3 linked regions of the Schizosaccharomyces pombe genome follow. The gene in region 1 interacts genetically with each later gene. Each region holds a gene or a part of one and is shown on either strand. Other genes may lie near its edges.

The links. Genes that interact genetically often act in the same process or in processes that back each other up.
Region 2: of ecl3 (region 1) and ecl2, changing one enhances a phenotype caused by changing the other (phenotypic enhancement), as found in Schizosaccharomyces pombe (one study listed by BioGRID).
Region 3: of ecl3 (region 1) and hsr1, changing one suppresses a phenotype caused by changing the other (phenotypic suppression), as found in Schizosaccharomyces pombe (one study listed by BioGRID).

What each region holds. Positions count from the first base shown.
Region 1 is NC_003423.3:4,438,874-4,445,210, forward strand, and holds ecl3 (protein Ecl3), read right to left. Parts: upstream 2,955-6,337; 5' UTR 2,737-2,954; coding exon 2,467-2,736; downstream 1-2,466. Other genes in the region: pho84 (inorganic phosphate transporter), read left to right, coding at 5,379-6,337.
Region 2 is NC_003423.3:960,507-966,227, reverse strand, and holds ecl2 (protein Ecl2), read left to right. Parts: upstream 1-3,712; coding exon 3,713-3,967; 3' UTR 3,968-5,221; downstream 5,222-5,721. Other genes in the region: SPOM_SPBP35G2.17 (uncharacterized protein), read left to right, coding at 1,953-2,273.
Region 3 is NC_003424.3:1,953,740-1,962,046, reverse strand, and holds hsr1 (DNA-binding transcription factor Hsr1), read right to left. Parts: upstream 4,575-8,307; 5' UTR 2,737-4,574; coding exon 988-2,736; 3' UTR 501-987; downstream 1-500. Other genes in the region: Lid2 complex PHD finger subunit Snt2, read left to right, coding at 1-337. UniProt on the Schizosaccharomyces pombe protein: Transcription factor that globally supports gene expression in response to hydrogen peroxide.

The sequences.
Region 1 (6,337 bases):
TTATCGCTTTTTTATTACTTTTACAAGTATTTGCTCAAAGCAAGCAGTCAATGTGAAGTCATCAATTTGTTAAACTAAGAGCTGTTGGTAAGAGAAAACCATTTAAATAAAAAAATAAAATAAAATTGTAGCCTTGAAATTAGAAAAAATAATTTTTAGAAAGGGGGAATTACTTAAATAGTCATTAATCTAATTTTATGCATCCAACCGTTCGATACTAAAGAAAACTTTGATTTCGTCGTACCTCATCTATCATCTTCCATATATAGGCAAACTGACAATTGAAACAGAGCAGTGATTAGATATAATATAAATTGCTATAGTGCAATACTCAAAAGTGTTCATTTATTCAATAACAATGGATGAGATTTTTTACTTCAACAAGTTCAAGGGTTATAGCTTTTGGATTATTATATCAATTTAGTTGAGCGCTTACCATTCTTCAATTATATAAGTTGCTTCATGGATTTACATTTCTTTTCATTTCTACTACGTAAATCAGTTCCCAATTTGTGCAATAAACGTTTTTAGTTACTATCAGCCTTTCTTGATTATTCTAGTTTAGTAAAATTCGCACAGTCATGGTAATTCAACTATGTCTGTTGTTGCACCTGAATATAATTCAAAATAGCACACGTTGCAGCGCAAGGTGTTTCGAAAATATCAGGCATCATTATTTCAAGCGTTTTCATTGTTTCCTGTATTAATATTATAATATAATATATCCACACCAAGACTTTGCAATGGAGACTGTGAATTGATGTCAATTTCCTTGAGTGTCTACTCACGGACTGTATTCTATGGTTTCCTATTCTCCTTGGTATTGTTATCTGAGTTGTGATACTTAAACACGGGGAATTTTTGATAATCATATGCCATGACGATGATCTTTCTTCTGAACATAAAGTTATCCAGGCCGAGTACCACTCTTGTCAAATTTTGCGGAGACCTAGAGTTCGTTGGTAGATCTCTCGGCAGCTAGAAATACTAAGAAAGATATTCGCTACCACACTTTAGAATATGAACTACGCTGTTTCCAACGGTTGACTGATTCATTTACAACTTCAGTATGGAGGTTTGCGCATCGTTACGGTATTTCCATCTTTTCGTCGTTAATTATTATGCTGTAAATTTTGGTTGGTTGTTTTTCCTTGAATATTCATTGATTATAAACAGTATTTCGTTGTTTATTTCCTAATTTTCCAGTTATGGATGAGCTAGCAGGATACTAAACAAATGGGATACTAAATCTCCATCCTGTGGCAATATTAAGTTTATTTTTGAAATTTTTTATGATGTTCATGTACTATTAAACTCGCCAAGGTCTTAACTCATGTAGACATCAATGATATGGTAATTCTGCATTTGTGATTCTTTATATTATTTACAAATTTATTATAATTATTGAATTCGTAGCATTTACACTTCTTGAGAAAAATCTTAAGCACATTCCAATCTTTATTTTTTTTTTACTGTTCTTATTCTAATAAATTTGCCGAAGCTAATTTACAGAAAAAATCCAAATCAGTGACATCTACACGTCCCACTTTTTGTACACATTTTTAAAAGTTTAGTATATAAAAAATCTTTAATAAATCTTTACTAGTTGTATGGTGCATAGAAAACGAGAAGCGAAATTAATTATTATTTAATTCAAATAACTCTGATTCAGTAAAATAAGATGTATAAAGAAAAGATGAAATGACAAATTAATATTAGTTAAACAAAAATAGTTCATTAAATTTTTAACTAAATGACAAGATGTAAATAAATAAATAAATAAATAAATAAAAAATGCAGCCACAAATAACGAAAAATAAAGAAAATTAGGCACACTATAATAAAACAAAAAAGATCGTTCTAGCATTGGTGTTAATTGCTAGTCATTATTGCCGAATGTATGCAAATGAAAGGAAATTGACGTTAGTCCTATTAATATAAAGAAAATGCTTTTTAATAAAAAAAAAAGCTTTAAATGTATAAATGAATATCAATAATGTTATCGTAAACAAATGATTCTGTAAATGTATTTTTTTAAGATAGACTCAAGGGTAGAGTGACAAGCTCCGTAATATATTTAAATGGATATCCCTTAATATCATTATGAAACATTCTAAAGTGATGCTAAATGAGCTCAGGATTGAAGAAAAAAAAATTAAAGTAGACCCTCTTTTTTTTTTAATTTCAAAAGAAAATTAAAGATAAATAATGCAATTAGTGAGGGTGATAAAAGAAAAGAAAAAAAATCCGAGGAAACGCGAAAGAACTGTAGGTAAGTAACTAAGAAAGAGAATGTAAAAAACAAATGAAGCCGAAAATGAAAAAATGATTAGGGAAATCCAAACTATACCAAATTTTATTTGATACTAACTTCCAATAGCCTCAAAACCGATAATTTATGTAGCTCGATCAAATAGAAGAGAAATGCTTCAAAGAGTAGAAAAAACATTAAAGGTAAAAAATTTTCTAATTCTCAACACTATAATTCTTCAATTCGGTATAATATATCCCAGAATAAATTGAGGAATTCGACGAAGAGCACATTGAAGATCGTCTGCTGAAAAGATCAAAGTAATTCAAAGCAAGGTAGTCTATTGTCTCGTTGAGAGAAGGCGACTTCAAGGGATCAGAAAACAGCTCTGTCGTAGCTTTATCCTGAATTCGACATTCATTTGAGCAATACAATCCTTCGGCATCGATGGAGTTACCACATAGCAAACATAAGTTTAAATCCATTTTTTCTTTAAAATAGCTAACTTTGAAAGATAACGAAAAGACGAACGTCAAAATCCGTTGGTTTGCTTGAAAATAGAAAAAAAAATTGAGAAGGAAGATTGAATTATAAAAAGAGCTTTTGCAATTGTCCTTCTTTTTCTCTATTCTAGTGAAAGAATGAGAGGAGAAACGAAGACTTTATCGTAGATAAATGAAAGAGAAGAATTCTCTAGAGTCCTGGCGTATCTCAAACGCACTCCTCCATATATATATAAGAAAGACAAGAATTACGAAGGACGATGTAAAACCATAAACAGGGATTGCAGATTACCGTGAAAGGATGTGTATCAACGTATCATTCTCGACTGTGAATCTAGGGAAATGTTGAGAGAATAAAAAAAAATAACAAATCAAAATTGCCGAGTCTTAGGAATGTCATAATTTATTTTCTCTCAAAAGGTTTATTGTGCGACATGGAGCCGGCATCTAATTTACAGTCACTTATACGATGTCAAGTCACAACAAGCAACTATGGTAGCAAGAGAGTAGTTACTTCACATTCCCATGAGAATAGAACAGTCCAAAATCCTTCTCACACATTCCTTTTCGCTTACACGAATTTCAATTTTTATTATTTATATTTTTTTTATCTTCGAACGATGTGAGTAAAATGCGTGTGAATTCGGCAATATACGACGCTGGAAATAAATTAGTAAACTGCCCTTGACTGATCACGATAGTTATATGGAAGAAATTGTTTCGACTATCCTAACTTAATTCCTATTATTTTCAGAAAAGGGTTTAATTTTTCCAATCTTCCAGTTCAGTTTGCATACCGAACGGTACACAATCTTACCCTGTCAAAAACCCCCTTTTTCAATTTAAAAAAATGACGTCACACACTGCATCAATAGCTATATAAGAAGCCTGAGTACCTAACTATTCAAATTTTTAATTTTAATTTAAACGCATTGGTAGTATGAAATAGAACGAAATAAGTCATAGAGGATGAGATAGAATTAATTCATAACAAATTAAACTATGAAAATCGTTAGAAATTGAAATTTATTAATATCGACATCTGTCCTTATAATAATTAATTAGTTTCCACGGTCTTTTCTTGAAAATTATTCTGCGTTTTGTCGAACTAGAATAATGCACGAAAGATTAACTCATCGTTGCTTTTAATTAGATAGCAAGAATGTAAAACAATGGAATTTGCTACTCGACACGAAAATTCAAAAATTTTCGAATACTATCAAATCATCTTATATCCATTACACTTGTTGAAGGGTGGCGGGCGGTAAAATCCTCGTATCCGTTCATCTTTTTGCTTCGGCAGTATATGCTGCCTAATAAATTTTAGCGTTCGGTAAACTGAGGTTCCTAAAATAAACTACGGTTTACGTGCATGAATGGAACATACTTGGAACCGAAATTGCTGAAGTGGCTGTTTTGTGCGGATGCCGGTTGTCAGGTCAATTCCGTGCAGAACATTCTGCTCGGTACCTGGTAGTTGTTAATTTCAAAGACCGACAATAGGAGAGGTGAGGGGAATTTTGTAGGATGGCGGCATTTCCGTTCGCCGAGTTTAATGGAAGTGGAAGCATGCATGCTTTGTTGATGTCTATTTTGTCAAAGAAATCTTATCACCCAACATCCTATCGGGTTGGAGGATATCGGAACCAACTTATCCGGGTGTTCTGTGTGTGGGCATGCATTGAGCTACACAGCATCAATCCGTGGTATTCTGGAATGTATACTTTTGAAACCGGCCGATTACTGGTTTTAAAACAACGACATCGCGTGCTTTCCATGGAATTGAAAAAACCAAACAGCTCGACGATTAAACCGTGTTTTACTTGGGCCAATTCTGTATTGTATAATGACATACTGATTTTTATTTTCGCAAATTTCATTTTGAATGCATACCGTATTGAGTTCTCTGCAGTATGAGTTTGTCTCTTAACTACAATTTTGTCTCAATTAGTAATGTCAACGTTATTAACTTAAGATTTCCGAGTGGGTCTAACGAGGGTATTACCACTTTTGCAACTTTTTTATGAACTGATACCCCTTTAGTATAATTGTCTGTTTTTGCAGTTGTCCGCTAGTGCTAATTCTTTTACTTTAAAGTGCAAATCTTAAACCAAATTGACCCATTACTTTCCCTCAGTTTTCTAACACCGCGTTACCTTAATCCTGAAATAGAAAATTTTAATTGTTAATATTTTTTTACTATTTTTTTATATTTCCTTATTGGATTCATATCAGTTACAAAGCAAATTGGACGGTTTACTTATAAACATAGTGTTTTGCATTTCCGATTTCTTCCTGTTTTGCTATTTTGTTTTGAAATAAGATTAAGCAGGTGGTGAATGTGCCGGTTGCCAGGGAACGTCAACACCAAAGCTTTTGATCTTAATTATTAATTTTTTTTCTATAACAAAGCCACCAATCTGACAAACTGGTAGTTTACTATATATATTGCTCCATTGCATACTGAATTATCTGTGTGTGTAAACCACCGGTACTCAGTTTTCTTAATTCTAATTGCAACCGCATTCGGACTTCATTAATTTGCATAAAGCAGCGATTAAGACTTACTTTATCATTCATTGCTTTCCTTTTCTCTCATATTTTGAACGCAAGGAAATCACAAGATGGCATTTGGGAGCAAAATTTTAAACATTGGATCTAAGTCTGATGAGTATAACGACGATGCAGTACCTCTCGACCAAGTCGAAGAGGGTGCGCAAGAGCGTCGCTATTACTTGGGGTTGACAAAGCGCGAATTTAAACTTATGATGCTTGCAGGTGTCGGGTTTTTCCTTGACAGTTACGATCTTTTTATCATCAATTTAGTTACTCCCATTTTTGAATATCTTTATTGGGGTGGTATTGAAAAAGGTCCCACAGGAAAAGGCCATTATCCCTCTGGTATTCGTGGTCTTGTAAATGCGTCAGCCAATATTGGTAACATTTTTGGACAACTGTTATTTGGTTTTATGGGTGATTTCTTTGGCCGTAAATTTGTCTACGGTAAAGAAATGGTTATTGTTATCATCGCTACTGTTCTGGTTATCGCTATGCCTAAAAGCATTCATTCTCCTCTTTCGAAAATGATGTGGGTTTTCTGTTGGCGTTGGTTGCTCGGTGTAGGTATTGGTGGTGATTATCCAATGTCTGCCGCTATCACTTCTGAGCGTAGTAAAATTAAACGACGTGGTACACTTATTTCTTTAATTTTTGCCTTCCAAGGTTTCGGAACTCTTGCTGGTGCCATTGTTACCATCATCCTTTTGGGTTGTTTCGAACATCCATTGAATCGGGAAGGTCATTATCATAAACTCGAAGGTGTCTGGCGTCTTCAATTTGGTCTTGCTTTGGTTCCTGCTATTGGTGTTCTTATTCCCCGTCTCATCATGAAAGAATCTAAATCATACGAGAATTCTAAAGCACTTAATAGTGCTGAAGGAAAAGATCCAAAGGCATTCTTCAATACCGATGATGAGGACAATATGAAGAAGTCATCTAGCCATGGTGACTCCGAGGTTGTCGAAGCTTCTGATCGTTATGCTAATCAAGCAGATGCTGCTGACGCTGAAGTTGATAACATTGA
Region 2 (5,721 bases), 3.5 Mb from region 1:
TCGATGAATAGTATGAATACCAGAATTTTAAAAAATAAATAAAAGAAAATCTATACATAAATATAAAGGGGCCTTTTTGTTTTTTTTTTGGTTTTCTCGCAAAAAAAAGTTATTCAGTCGTAAATTTCTACGTGGTAGATGAAAGAAAGTGTAGAAATTTCAACGTTAAATTAGCGAGACTTTTGTAGCACTGTATGAGGAACAGAATTTCAAGGCATACGAACAACTAAGCTAAAAGGCCCATGAAAAAGACAACACCAAAGTTCTTCCTTGGTAACATTGTTTCTATCCAGGCGGGTAGGATGTGGGCCGTGTGGCGCTCATTGTAACAATATATATGTATAGGATTTTGATAAAAACCGGTTGCTTGAACATGCAAGAATAATGAACGGTGACACGTGACAAAGTTACAGCGCAGAAATACGGTGACAACCAAAGCAAGACCAAGGGAAAAGGTTCGCTATAGATGTGAAACAAGTCATGGAAAGAAGGGTGGGGGAGGGCAAGCCAAGGCTGGGGGTAGCGTAAAAGTATAACTTTGTATAATTTTACATTGAAGAAAGAAATGGCACGCCATATGTAACGTGTTTTCTTTTCCATGGTGAATGTTTATTAAGAGAAACATGGATATGCGTACATTCGGGATTACATTGGTGTGGGAGGATTGAACATTATGGATTTGATTATTTAGAGAAAAAAAAAAAAAAAAAGAAAGAAAGAGAACGTACTATTTTTTGGTTGACTTTTATATTCCTAAGGTTTACTCCTAATGTCGCTACGGACATGAATCCGTGCAAAAGGACCTGAACCGCTGTTAACCCTTGCCTTAACCGTGTCTCGCCCCTGTTGTTGATATTTTTATGCGACTGAAAAATGCCTCACTGGTTCAACAAAGCATGAAAGGATTAGAAATTTTTAATGAGAAAATCGATGTTGAATAAAAATGACCAAAGAAGTGTTCTTGCATTTTCTTTCTCTACTTTTTTTTATTTTTCTAATTTTTCATCCTTGAAAAAAAAATACAAACGAGAATGATCTGCATCTTGATATCTTTAGCGAATATCCTGATTTTTGCATAACTGGCTTTTTTTTCTCTACGCTTCTCTTTGTCCCGCTGCACTGGATAGTACTAGATACATATGGAATAGGGTGTTTATACAAGATTCTGGAAAAAGTAGTAAATAAATGTCCCAAAAAGGAGAAACTTGACAGAAAAATAAAAACAAAGAAAAACAAGGAAGACATGGGAAAAAGTGGGAAAGGAGTTTTGATTTGAATACGCCTTACCTACTTAGAGCCAAAAAAAGAAAAAGAACTTGAAAAAAATTTTTCTTGAGAAGCCGTACATACGATATTTTCTATTTTTTTATTTTATTTTTTTTTTCGTTCTCGAGTTTAATTACTAAACCATCTTATTCTATTTTTACTCGTTTGTTGGAATGCGATTTTTCTAGCACATAACCGAAACACGCAGCGTTCGTTATCTGATCAAAGGAAAATCATTGAAAACATAGTATGCAAAAAAGACCCTCATGGGTTTGTAAACAAGATTCATACGTCCTTTAATAATCGATTTCATGAAATGAATGAATTCCAGTAGTAGGTTAAAATTTTTCCAAAAGATTCTGATGCGTTTAGCACTATTGTATTCTGCATATAGCAAAGCACATGGATGTATGTAGGATGGATACATGTGGGATGGGTACGTGAAAATGTGGGATAGATGTACCTATGTGGGATGTTTTGCATACCTACAGAGGAAGCACAGGTGGGATCGGATCCAGTAGCTACTACAGTTGGTGATTGTTACTGTTGGCAGAGTGTTGCATCCTAGCTCTTTGCTGAGGAGTTATTGCTTCGTGGCAAACTACAGAGTAACACGTGCTAGATCCCGCGAACGTTAGATTCAAAGATCCCAAACACTTACAACAAGGTTACATGAGTATAAGTAAATGGTACGTGAATTCTACGTTACCGGTCGAGGCAGAAAGTTGCTTCCGACCGTCTTCAGAATCAAGTCATTCCATGGAATTGTAAGACAATGTGTGAAACAACAACGAGATTTCACTTCTTTTTTAGCTAGTTCTCCCGCTATGGGTGTCGCACAAGGACAACAGGTAAAATTAATTTTGATGCTACTCATTGAGACATGGGAAACAAAACATCAATCATGCCACAGTCATTTCATTTTATTAGAATTCACTCATCTTTTTGTACGCAAGTTTTCGCAAATATTTTTCGAGTTCCGGTTGTTTGCTCACCTACTATCATAAATACAATGTATAATCAATAAACGATTCGCACTTTGTCGTTAGAAATCGAAAAAAAATAAATAAATAAATAAATAGATATATAAAAGTAAAACCATTCTCTAATAGTGAAATATATTTATATCTCTATCATGTGTAAATTTTGTTTTATTATTTTTTCTCTTTTTATTTTTACTTCTCTAGTTCTCTATTATTGAATTCCATTTATTTTATTCTATTTTATTATAATTTAAACTAATTTCTTTTTTTTCTCATTCATTCCCAACCGTCAGTTTAATTTTTCATCCCTGCCCTGCACATCTTTATACATGCTATATTTCGACCCCACCTATCGCCTTAAATCTCTCGTTGAAAAAAAGTCATCATCACCATGGTTCTCCATTTTGCTCCGCTACTGACTGCATCGGTGCCTCTTTTTACAGTCCAAAGATGTGCGATCAGCATCATGTTGTTGTGAGCTGGCGTACAACTGTCTTCTCACATGTATTTTTGGGGTTTAAAGGCGGAGAATATGATGCGAAAGGTCGCTTAAAGTGAGTAGAAGAGTATTCGAGAATTAAAATGAAAAAATAAAAAATGTAGTGTGTTTTTACTATTGTATATGACACCCCGGCTGAGCTAGCGTTTGTGTGTGCATTTAGTATGCGAGTTAGTACACACAGTGTTTTTCTCGGTTTCCCACTTCCGACTCAAATCCCCCACATCAGTCGTTCTGCTTTCTTCTCTTGTGTGTTGTAATCAAATTATGAAGAGGTAACATTGTACGCAACTCACGCAATGTATTAGCATATGCAGTCGGTCGGATGTGCATTATGAGATCAAACACAGTGTATGCTGTTTTCTTAACGTATTTTACCGATAGTATGGTATCTCAGGTCAGATCATCTGGACAGATTGCGTGCGCAGTTTTCAGATGTATATATAGAGCGCAGCAGTCCGACTGAGAGGTCGTAGAAGATTAACATATAGATCAGCAAAGGGTTTTTGACTTATACTCGCTGTTCTTGATTGCTTGAACTAAACGAACTGTCCTTCTTAAGTGTCTCTTGTTTTCCTCGACAAACAGTTTCGCTGTGTGATTGAGTAGAACTCACTTTTCCTCGTTTTCTCCATCCTAACCTCTTTTCGTCTTGTTGAATCACCCGCAGGACTCATCTCTTCCTTGAAATTGAGAAGGATTTGTTTTATTTTATTGTGAAGCTAAGTTCTTTTCTTTCTTCTTCCTCTACTAAATCGGAAATATCTTCCAAACGTCCCGTATATTTCGACTTTGAAATTTCTTTTTAGTCCGCTTTATACGCTCATCCGTTTTATCTGGTTTTCTTCAATAGGATCCAATACTAGCTCGCCTCAGCTTGGCTCATTCATTGGTTTTTCCTCGTTAACAAGTCATTTTAATTTTCTTTTTCTAATTTCTTCATCCTTTTGTATTCGTTAGAGACATGGATTTGGATTATTGCATAATTTGCGGAAAACCCACTACTGGCAACTTGTATTGCTCTCGTGAATGTCATCTGCAGGATTGCCCCGGCTGTGGTTCGACTTCGGAGCAGTGTTCTTACTCTAAGTCGGCTGATCTTCATATGTTATCTTCCCAATATTTAGATCATTTCCGAAGAAGGTCTTCCATGCCTTCCCCATCCACTTCGTCTTCTCTTTTGAACGGTTTTGTCGCTTCCAGACTTGCTGTTCTTTAATTTTACCTTACATTGCATTATTCCAACGACGGTGTCGTTGATATACACACATTCATTGCCAACGGCTCAAAAAAATTATATTTCATTTCTCTCTATCTCGGTTTTTTTTTTCATTTTCTCCTGTTTAATCTGGGAAAATTTATTTACTTATTTCTTTATCTTCCGGTTCCATTTTATTTTTTATTTCTCATGGGTACTTATATTTAATTGTGCCTTTTTTTAAACCTATTTTTATTTTATAATTCTTATAACTTGAAGTTTTTTTTTTCAAATTATTATGATACTTAAAAATTTTTATGCCTTTCTTAAATGATGATCACTACACTAACCGTGTGTGAATAGTTGATCATTGATTTTTGCGGTTCATACCGTGTATGTTTCTTAAATTGATAGCCAAGCATCCTTACATACTATCTTAAATTTCCAAATGATGTTGGTGCGTATATTTTGTTTATGCACTTCATTATTTCATGAGTTGTACAACTTAATTCGTTCACGCAATGTTGATGGTATGTTTCCATTACAATGTTTGTTTGGCTTCATTGGGGTTTTTTATGATTTTCTATGATAACGATATTGTATGAGTGGATTTGGTACTCGGACTTTTTCGTCAATTCGTAATGGCATTTTTTATTTCTTTCGAAATACGATGGATATTTTTTACGATTCTTTTATTCTTATGATATGGACTTTTGTTTCGGTGTGTCACGCAACTATTCTTACTTCTTTTCTGCAATCGCATTTTATTTGCACTGTCTAACTGTATTCGAGATTTGTCATTCGTGCTTTTTACATTATGCTCTGGCATCTGGGACAACTTTATGCTGAGTTCTTCTGAGCGCGTATTTTTAAAATACATAGAAGCTCTAGGCTTTCCCTCACTTCATCATTTCTTTTGCATATCAACATTTTGCATTGTCCCATTGGTTTTGAAGCTTTAGAGTTATTTATGTGTGTCGTGCTTTAAGTTCTCAGTTTTTGGCTCATCGTTTACGTGGGATTTTTGCATTAGACAATTTTTAGAGGTTGCGTATCAAACTATTTTATACCCAAGCACTTTGTTTTCTACGAATCGATACGGACATTTAACTGGCATCAGTACTTTAAAAAACGATAAAATATTTATTTTGATGAAATTTATATTGTTATGATAAAAAAAAAGCATAAAAATTGAAAACGCTTTTAAAAATATTCAATTTTATTAAAGTGCTTTGGTTGCTAGAAGAAAAAATAAAATTAAAAAATTAACGTATATCTACTGTGGTTGACATGTAAACGAATTATTTTGTGCGCAAAGGTAATACATAAATACTGGCTGAATAATAAAAGCGCTTTGTACAGCAGTATTAGGTTGAAAGGTTGTTTTACTTTTCTAGTTAAGTGTTCATCTTTATTCAAATGGATCTATTTGGGATGCCAACTAGAGGGCAGGAATTAGCAAAAATAAATTTAATAGTAAGTGCCCACACCAGGAATCGAACCTGGGTCGCATCGGCCACAACGATGAGTCTTAACCACTGGACCATGTGAGCATTTGTTATAAGAGCTCAAAATAGAAATACATATTTAGAAATTTGAAACTAAAAATGAAATTGTTAAATGCAGTAGAACTAAGGTGGATTAAGACTCTAAAAAAAAAATAATAAATAGAAAGAAGTTGTTTGCATAAAGTCAAAGGGTTAAAAAAAATATCATTCTTTGTCGCGTAAACACTTGATTCTGTTGTTCTCGCGTACTTCTTCCCATCAATTTGA
Region 3 (8,307 bases), on another chromosome or scaffold:
TGGCAACGTAACAGAAATAAATACCAACAAATGCATGATCAATTCCTGGACTTCTTTGCGGCCTGTTCTTTTTGGACCAAGTGAACAGTTGCCTAGGAACTTTTTGTTGCGCAATGACATTGTTCCGAATACTAATAATTCTGCTTGGAGCGAATATATACGCAATTTGTACCCTAAGGCATATATCTATTTACTTCAGTATACTATAGCAGTTTGTAAGCCGACTATCGCGCCAACCAATGTCGCTTGCTGCTGTAGCAAATGTAATTCCACCATGAGTCCTTTCTGGTGGCCTGGCAACATATGTCAGGCCTGTCATTGTTTGAGAGTTGAGTGATTTAAATTCTGCCATAAACTCTCCATGTAATTTTATATTCGTTATTATTATTATTATTATTATTATTATTTTATTTTTTTGGAGTTTACGTTACGTCTTTTATGATACTTTGCAGTGGCTTTACTTTTTAGCTTATCCAGCTAAGATGTTCACAAAAAAAGGATCAATATGTTTTCATCCGAAAACACAACAGTCATTCATTGAAATAGTTTATTTCATGTACATATTAACAACAAATAACAGTATATCTTTCACTGTACATTAGTTTATTGGATTTGTAAAACCGTTCCTTGAAGAACCCCAAAACGAAAATCATTTGTAGCTATCGCTCCGAGCCTTTATGATAAACAACTAAAAAATTTTAAAAAATTGGAACGATAAAAAATCACCGCTAAATAGTCCCTCATAATATAACACGCTCAAGCTTTAAGTATTATATCCGGCGTTATGCCTTGATAATAGCCTAAAGATAGCAAAGCAGGATATGCTAGTAAACAATGAAATTGCCATTTTGAAACGTAAAAAATAGATTTAGTAAACATGTAAATAGGTAGAAAAAAGGCTGATGAAAAATTATAATTGAAAACATTCTTATAAAACAGTTCAATGTAAAAAAAACCCGAATTTAGGCAGTTAATTTATAAAAATGCTTAAGAACTAGGATAAGGTTGATATTGATGCATCGGATTCATTAAAGGCATTTTTTGGTTAGGTGTTTGTACTGGTAGTTTAGATAGAAGTTCTGGACGAATTGAATTTGGGTAAGCAGCGATTTCTGGGACAATTTGTTGAGACAAAGGCCTTTGACTAGATAACATTAAATTAGTGTTTTCAATCTGAGAGCTATCCATGCCTTGATTAATTGGAATCTTGTTTAAATCTTCAATTGGTTTTTGTGGTTGCACTGGAGCACCTGGAGCACCAGAAGAATAATAACCTGAAGGTTGGAAAAAACAGGCTAATCTAGGGCTTGCGTTGACATGCAACCTTTCATGCTGCCGTAAATTATCTCTACGAGAAAAACGTTTTCCACATATACAAACAAATGGCTTTTCACTAGTATGTAGAGATCGAATATGTCTTCTCAAATGTTCAGATCGTTTAAACTTTTTGCTGCACTCAGGGCATACAAATGATTTACCACCTGGTGAACGTGGTACTGAAGTCTTTCTATTAGACGGCTGTCGACGTTTTCTTCTCTTCATCGAACCGTCAGTACCAATCGTCCCTATTTGTTCTGTAGCTTCCATTGAATTAGGGGATCTACCCGATGTGTTTGTCTGATTTAAATACGTTGACATTGTCTCTCCAGAATTATAGGAACCCGTAACTGACTGCTGAGGGGTATCATTATAGGAAGTAGAAGGAATACCACCATTGTATGAATTCACATTAACTTCTTGTTCAGCATGATAAGACGGGCCAGAAGATTTAACGGACGGACATGAACAATTGGAAGGGATAGAGGAAGCCGTAGACAATGGTCCGCTTGAAACAGTAAGACAAGGTGAAGGTGGAAGTTGAGATACCAACGTAGTATATGAAGGCACGAGAGCATTGGGATTATATGAAGGCTGTTGAAAAGGATAATTAGGAACAGTAGTAGGAAAGTTTTCACAATTAACATTGGGTTGAGCTCTCAGTAAGTTATTCTGATATTGGGTATGCGGCCGATACTCATGCGACCATTGGTAATTTATTTCTTGAGGATTGGGAGCCGTAGAAGCTTGAGTGTTATAGAAATTGAATGAAGAGGGAATGTCAGTCGCATCATGCGCAGTATTGGTTGAATACATATAACCCTGTGAAGCTTCGGTATGCGAACTCTGAGGTGGGGCAAGATTATGCTGAGCACCTGCTTTATACCAATCGTAGAATGAAGAATCTACCGTATCATCATACGTTTGAGAAGGTTGATGGTATTGAGCTATCCGACTTTTAGAAATACCAGGATTTTGAGGCGGTGGTTGGAATCCATTGTTGTTATTCAACTGTTGAGTAGTATTGTTGCTATTTAAAGTAGAGCCATCATTATAGACTTGCGAAGGGTGCTGCGATGTGGAAAAGGAAGCAGATGGATATTGAGATGTACCACCAATAAAGGATGTTAAAGGCTCAGTTATAAGTGCAGTATTATGAGATTGTGCGCTACTTGGCGAAAGGGAAGGAGCCAAAGAAAAATGAAGAGTAGAAACCAATGGAGGCTTATTATCTTGTGAATCGACATATGCAACACTAGAATTATGAGTTGAAGGATGTGAGGGTAAAGAATATTCACGACATGAATTGGAGGGTAAGGGAGATGATGATTGTGCTGGGGCAAATGGACTGGTGTTTACCTGGGGAACCATTCGTTCAGAAAGAGTAACAAGGGGCATTGCCTCAGGAAAGAAAACCATACAAAGTAAGATAAAAGAATTATTATAAAAAGAAAGTAAGCGAATACTTTTCAAAAATAAAAAATCAACTAAAGAAAAGACAAAAAGAGAGGTAACGGAATATAGTCTTGCTAACTTATTGTTTATACACTTAGCGTTCGTAATATGCAAGTTTAAGAACGAAAAAAAAGTTCAATTGCAAGGGGGATCCTATCGAAAAAATAAATGATTATGTAAGCCTTAAAATAGAATAGAATTGATACGTAACAAAAGGTATTTTTGACTGCAAACAACGTAGCTTGCAGCAAGAAATACAAGGATCGAAAAGTATAAGTTCGACAAATATATAAGTAAAGCGGAAATAATTGAAGAACAAAACTTAAAAGATTAAGGAGCAAGACCAAAAAAGTTAAACGGAAAGAAACAAACGATCGTCTACAATAACAAGCAAGCCAACAAGTTTATTGACACAGGAAAATCAAGTGTAAAAAATGTTAACAATACACAAAAAAAATACGTTTAAAGGGTCTGTAAAACTCAATGGCACTAGAAACTTGAATAAAGTATGATCGATTTTTAGAAAGCACCGATTTCCTCTTTGAATTTTACTGAAAAAGAAGAGAAGATATGTCTAGTGAGTGAATAAAAAGGGAATAAAAGAAAAAGAAAGAAAATGTATTGATTTGTCGCGGAAAGACGAGTAAAAAGGGAATAAATAAGGGACGCGACAAATCGAAAAAAAAGAAAAGGACGAGAGAACAAGTATGACAGAGTTATAAGGCTGTAGACATCAAAATCAAGACAAAAAAGATATGATTATTTAGATGTTTATAAAAAAAGATAAAAAGCCAGAATTAGTATGAGGCAGAACTGAGAAAAGTTAATAGTACGAGACGAAAGTGTAGTAAGTATCCAAGAATTGAAAGAATCAAAGCAGTAGAGGAAAGATGTATCTGGAATAAAAAAAATTACAGTACAATTATTAGAAAATAAAAAGAAGGAAAGCCTTGATCTGCTGATAGGAAAAGAAAAAATGCTGTGAATAAACAAGCGTTCTATCGAAGAAGCAATGTGATTCTTATAGATTGGAAAAAAAGAAAATTTCGAAAGGAAAGTTCCAAATTAAGATTCAAGAAGATAAATTAGGAAAAAAATAAGCTATTTGAGTGAAACGTTTACTTCACTACCAATGCCTCAAACCCACAGGAGCACGATGTGCAACAACAAAAAAATATGGATTAAGAAACAAAGACAAATGAAATTAAGGGGAAATTTTTAACTTTTGAATAATGAGGATAATAAAAAGGAATGGCTTTTGTACTTTGTAAAGGAAAAGGGTAAATGTATCAATTTATGTTCTGGTAACCTTTGTGATGCAATTCGGTATATGAGAGCCTGGAGCGATTATAAAAGTGTGTATTGTGCACACATATATCAATATATCAATTAAAAAGATTGAGCATATAAGAAGAGATAATAGTGTAAGATGGGTTTGCAAACACTAGCTGAGCTACTCCTTTGTAGGCAAAAAGAAAAAGGAATATTGGAGAAAAAAAGAAAAAAAAGGGTGTGTGTCGAGTGTGAAGGCAGTATGTATGACTTGAAAAAGGAAACGGCACACTCGGTTCCGACGAGCAAGGGGAAATCAGTTACAAATTCAACCGATTGAAAAGAGAAATTACTTATTTTTACTCTTCCCCAAAAAATATACTAGGCGTAGTAAAAAGCGCTATACTTTTGACTACGTTGTATGTATATGTATATGTGTATATAATACAGATGAGCAAGTTTATGTGGATGCAGATATATAGGGATATATGTACACAGACAAACTACCTTTTTCCTAGACGAGAAAAACTAAACGTTGAAACGCCAGAAGAGGCGAGTTTAATATGTGGGAAACTGAGACTAGCGCTTCAATGATGTGGAAATCTGTTCCTTATCTAAGAAGCGACGGTTTCGTTTACACGTATCGACACGATAATACCGTAGCGATGTTACGCAAGTGTGTATCCACCATATCAACCAACAAACGTCTGCAAGAGGCAAAAACTGACGGTTCGCTGACAACGAGTTCTCCCATAAAAGAAATGTGATGATGTTGGAGTAAGCCGATGTCACTGTAACACTCATCACGTGGCGATTGGGAAGACAGCACTTCCACCGTTTATGTAAGATTAGAAAAAAGACGCGATCGAGATTGTAGTGCTGTAAATTGGTATGCCAAAGTAGAAAAAACAGAGAGCAGGTCGTTTTTTGTTACAAAAAAAAAAGAAAAAGATGGAAATTTACGGCTTTATTGATTGATGAATAGTTTAAGAGAAACTCATTTTATTTTATTGATGAGTTTTCAATTTTTTGCTAAAAGTAACCTACGGGATAATCCGAGTGTGAAGAGGATGTGTAGCAAATTTTTACCTACATTCAATCCCGTATGCTTTGGCGGGGAGAGGGGAGAGATAAAGGATGATTATTGGTCAAGGTGAATAAGAAAGAAAAAAACTTGCTGCAGCAGCGACAACGTTCAAGTTAAGCGTAAACCAATGTAGCTTGGCAGATAGAAATGAAAAAGAAGAGGAAGAAAAAAAAAAGGCTATAGAACTGGAGCATATGGTTTGAGGATAAGGAATGTGTATTCCAAACTGAGAGACATAGTTATAAGTATGATTCTTTGTTTATTTTATAAACCATGAAAAACTAGAACTTTTATTATCTGCTACAATGGTTTTTCTAATTCTATTTGTTTACCATATGGTGGTGGTGATGGATGATCAGACAAGATATTGATTGATATCGTACATTGGGGGTAAAGAGGAAATTTTGCTATTGAATCTCGCTCCCATTTTTCGTTTGTAAACTTATTTATTTTATAATTATTTTTATTTCTTTTATTTATTTAATTAATTATTTAATTAATTGATTTATATTTTAATTGTATTTTTGTGCATTTTTTATAAGACCCGCATACTCGATGAATGCAAAATGTATTCTTACATCTTATTCAGCTCTATCTTGGGGTTTTCTCTACTTTTTTTCTGCCCATACATACACACACACTTAGTGCTTTCAAAAACCGACAATCCATGTTTCATTCACTGGATCGGCAGTTAAGGAGAGAGAGTAAATGAAAGGAGGGGCAAGGGGGAAGCAGGGAAATGCGTAGTTTTAACTTTTAACAGACCTTTATAACAAAGATATGAATTGTAAAATGCAGTCCAGTTTAATCCAATTCGCAAGCACTAACTCCATTGGCATAAATACTAACCCACCCTTATTGCTCATCGTGCGCTTCATTCATAAGTTGCTTGCATTGGCTGGCTACGAATGATTTGCTTGGGTACGCAACGCATTATTATTAATTACCTAAAAAAAAAAAAAGAAGGACCTAGCTCCTGTGTGTGTGTAAATTTTTTTCTTTGAAGTATTGAAAGAAAAAAAAATTTTTCATTCGTTTTATTCTTGTTTTTTTTTTTTTTTTATCTTTGTTTCATTTGTCCAAGAATGGTTTTGTGGCAAGTAGCTTAGCCTACATAACGTCTGTTTGATAGAATTGTAAAAAAAAAAAAAAAAAAAAAAAGCGAAAAAAAAAAATATATTCCCTTTGCTAATAAAAAATTGTTTGTTAACTTTCTTCTAGGTCAAGCTGACGATGACTTTGTAATTGTGTATCACGCACGCACTAAGCTTCAGTTGTTAAAAATAAATCGCCTTACAAACAAAGAAAGCAAATCAAATAGCATATTAATTTGTTTTGTTCGTCCGCCTCGCTATTCTATGGATCGATCTCAGCTCCAGTGCTTGGTTTATCTGAAAACTCACTCACGCTACGCCGATACCACCACTATGGGTGTCACTTGCTCCGGGACATTCAACCGACCGAAGAGAAAACAAGGAAGCGGTTGTGAGGAAATACCAAATATCTTTGTAGAGGTTTTCTGACATAGTAACAGAGGGGATCCCATAGGAAATTCAAACAATTACCATTGAATTCATTGGAAATGTTTGCCGAAGGGAAAGCATAAACTACACTACGCTGGACAGGCAATTACTTTCTTTCCATTTCATTAGGTGACACACGCTTCAAACTTCTTCTAGCCGATCTGTATAAGAGATTCGGCTGACGTCTATCGGTATCTTAAATTTGCGCTTTCTCTCTCCCACAAAAAGAAAAAACTACAACGCAACCGAGGTAACAGATAAAAACAACAAACGAGACCATTCCATGGCTGTTTAATCTTCATGCTTCTTGTCCCGTTTTTGTATGTATGAGAAATATTTCTAATATGGTTTATATTTCCCTTTTGACACTTTGAGTGGAAATACACTTTTGGTCGATATGCTACTCTTGTAGGTAGTATTTGCGTAGGCAATTAACTTTTACACTTGCTTCTTTGTGTGAAAATGAGTCGCTGTTGAATTCTTTTGCTTCTATTAATAATCCGCGCATATGAAAATGAAACGATCGCGGTTACTGAAAAACGAATGACTGTGTAGGTTTACTATGAAAATTATAGATGAGTGATTTTTGTTAAATAAAAATAATATATTTATTTATTTATATTTAAATTCATATATTTATATAGTTAAATAAATAAATAAATTATTTTTTATGATGGTTGCAATGCAGTTTTTTGCATTTTGACATCACAAGATTGGTATAACGAAGACTAATTAGTAATAGTATTCTGTTTTGTTTATCTATTCGTTTGCTTGTTTTTTTCATTACTTGTTTTTCCTCCTGCTTACTCTCCTCTCGGATGATTTGTATTTTTGCATTCAACCATGTTTACTCCTTCTTGCAACCTAACACTCAATTTGATCGTCTATCAAAAACATGGTCAACCTTTTTAACTCGGTCTTTCACTTATCTATCTTACTAGTGGGTACTTGCTAACCTCGTTTCTCGTTTCTCGTTTATTCCTGTTCCTGTTCCACGGAGTATACAGAGAGAAAAGGCGAGACATTCATGTGGATAACAGGTCTGTCTCGAAGGTGGGCGATAGATTTTCAATTAACTAATCCATTCAACAAGTACTGATAGAGAAAACCTTATATCGCAGCACATAATAGATTATACTATAACAATCGGAACCAAACACTGTTGGACTAGGGGTTAAGGGCATTTGAATTTTGCATGTATCGGGGGTGCTTTTTTTTTTTTTTTTTTTTGGATCTCTTTTTTGTTAACTTCTCCTTCCTCGTACATGTGTTGGCAAGCGAAAAAGAGACATATTCCCCTAGGATGTGCTTTCGAGTTAAAATTTGTAACAACATGAAAATTCATATCAAGACAGACAAAAACGTGTTATTTCATTTGTTCGAATGCGTTATCGTATTCGATGTTGATTTTTAGAATAATAGAATCGTATGACTTGTTGGCTGTTCAAATGTACGAAAATTCTTTTAGCGATGTAAAAAACAGTGGAGTAATTAAATTTGTCAATATACTCTTTTTAACTTTGCCTTGAGTACCACATTCCCTTACATGCATGAAAAGTGTTATTTTAGTCACGGTACTATGCCAGCAAATTTGCCGACAGTTAGAATAAATAATTAATTAAATGAATAAATTGACTAATAAATTAATTAATT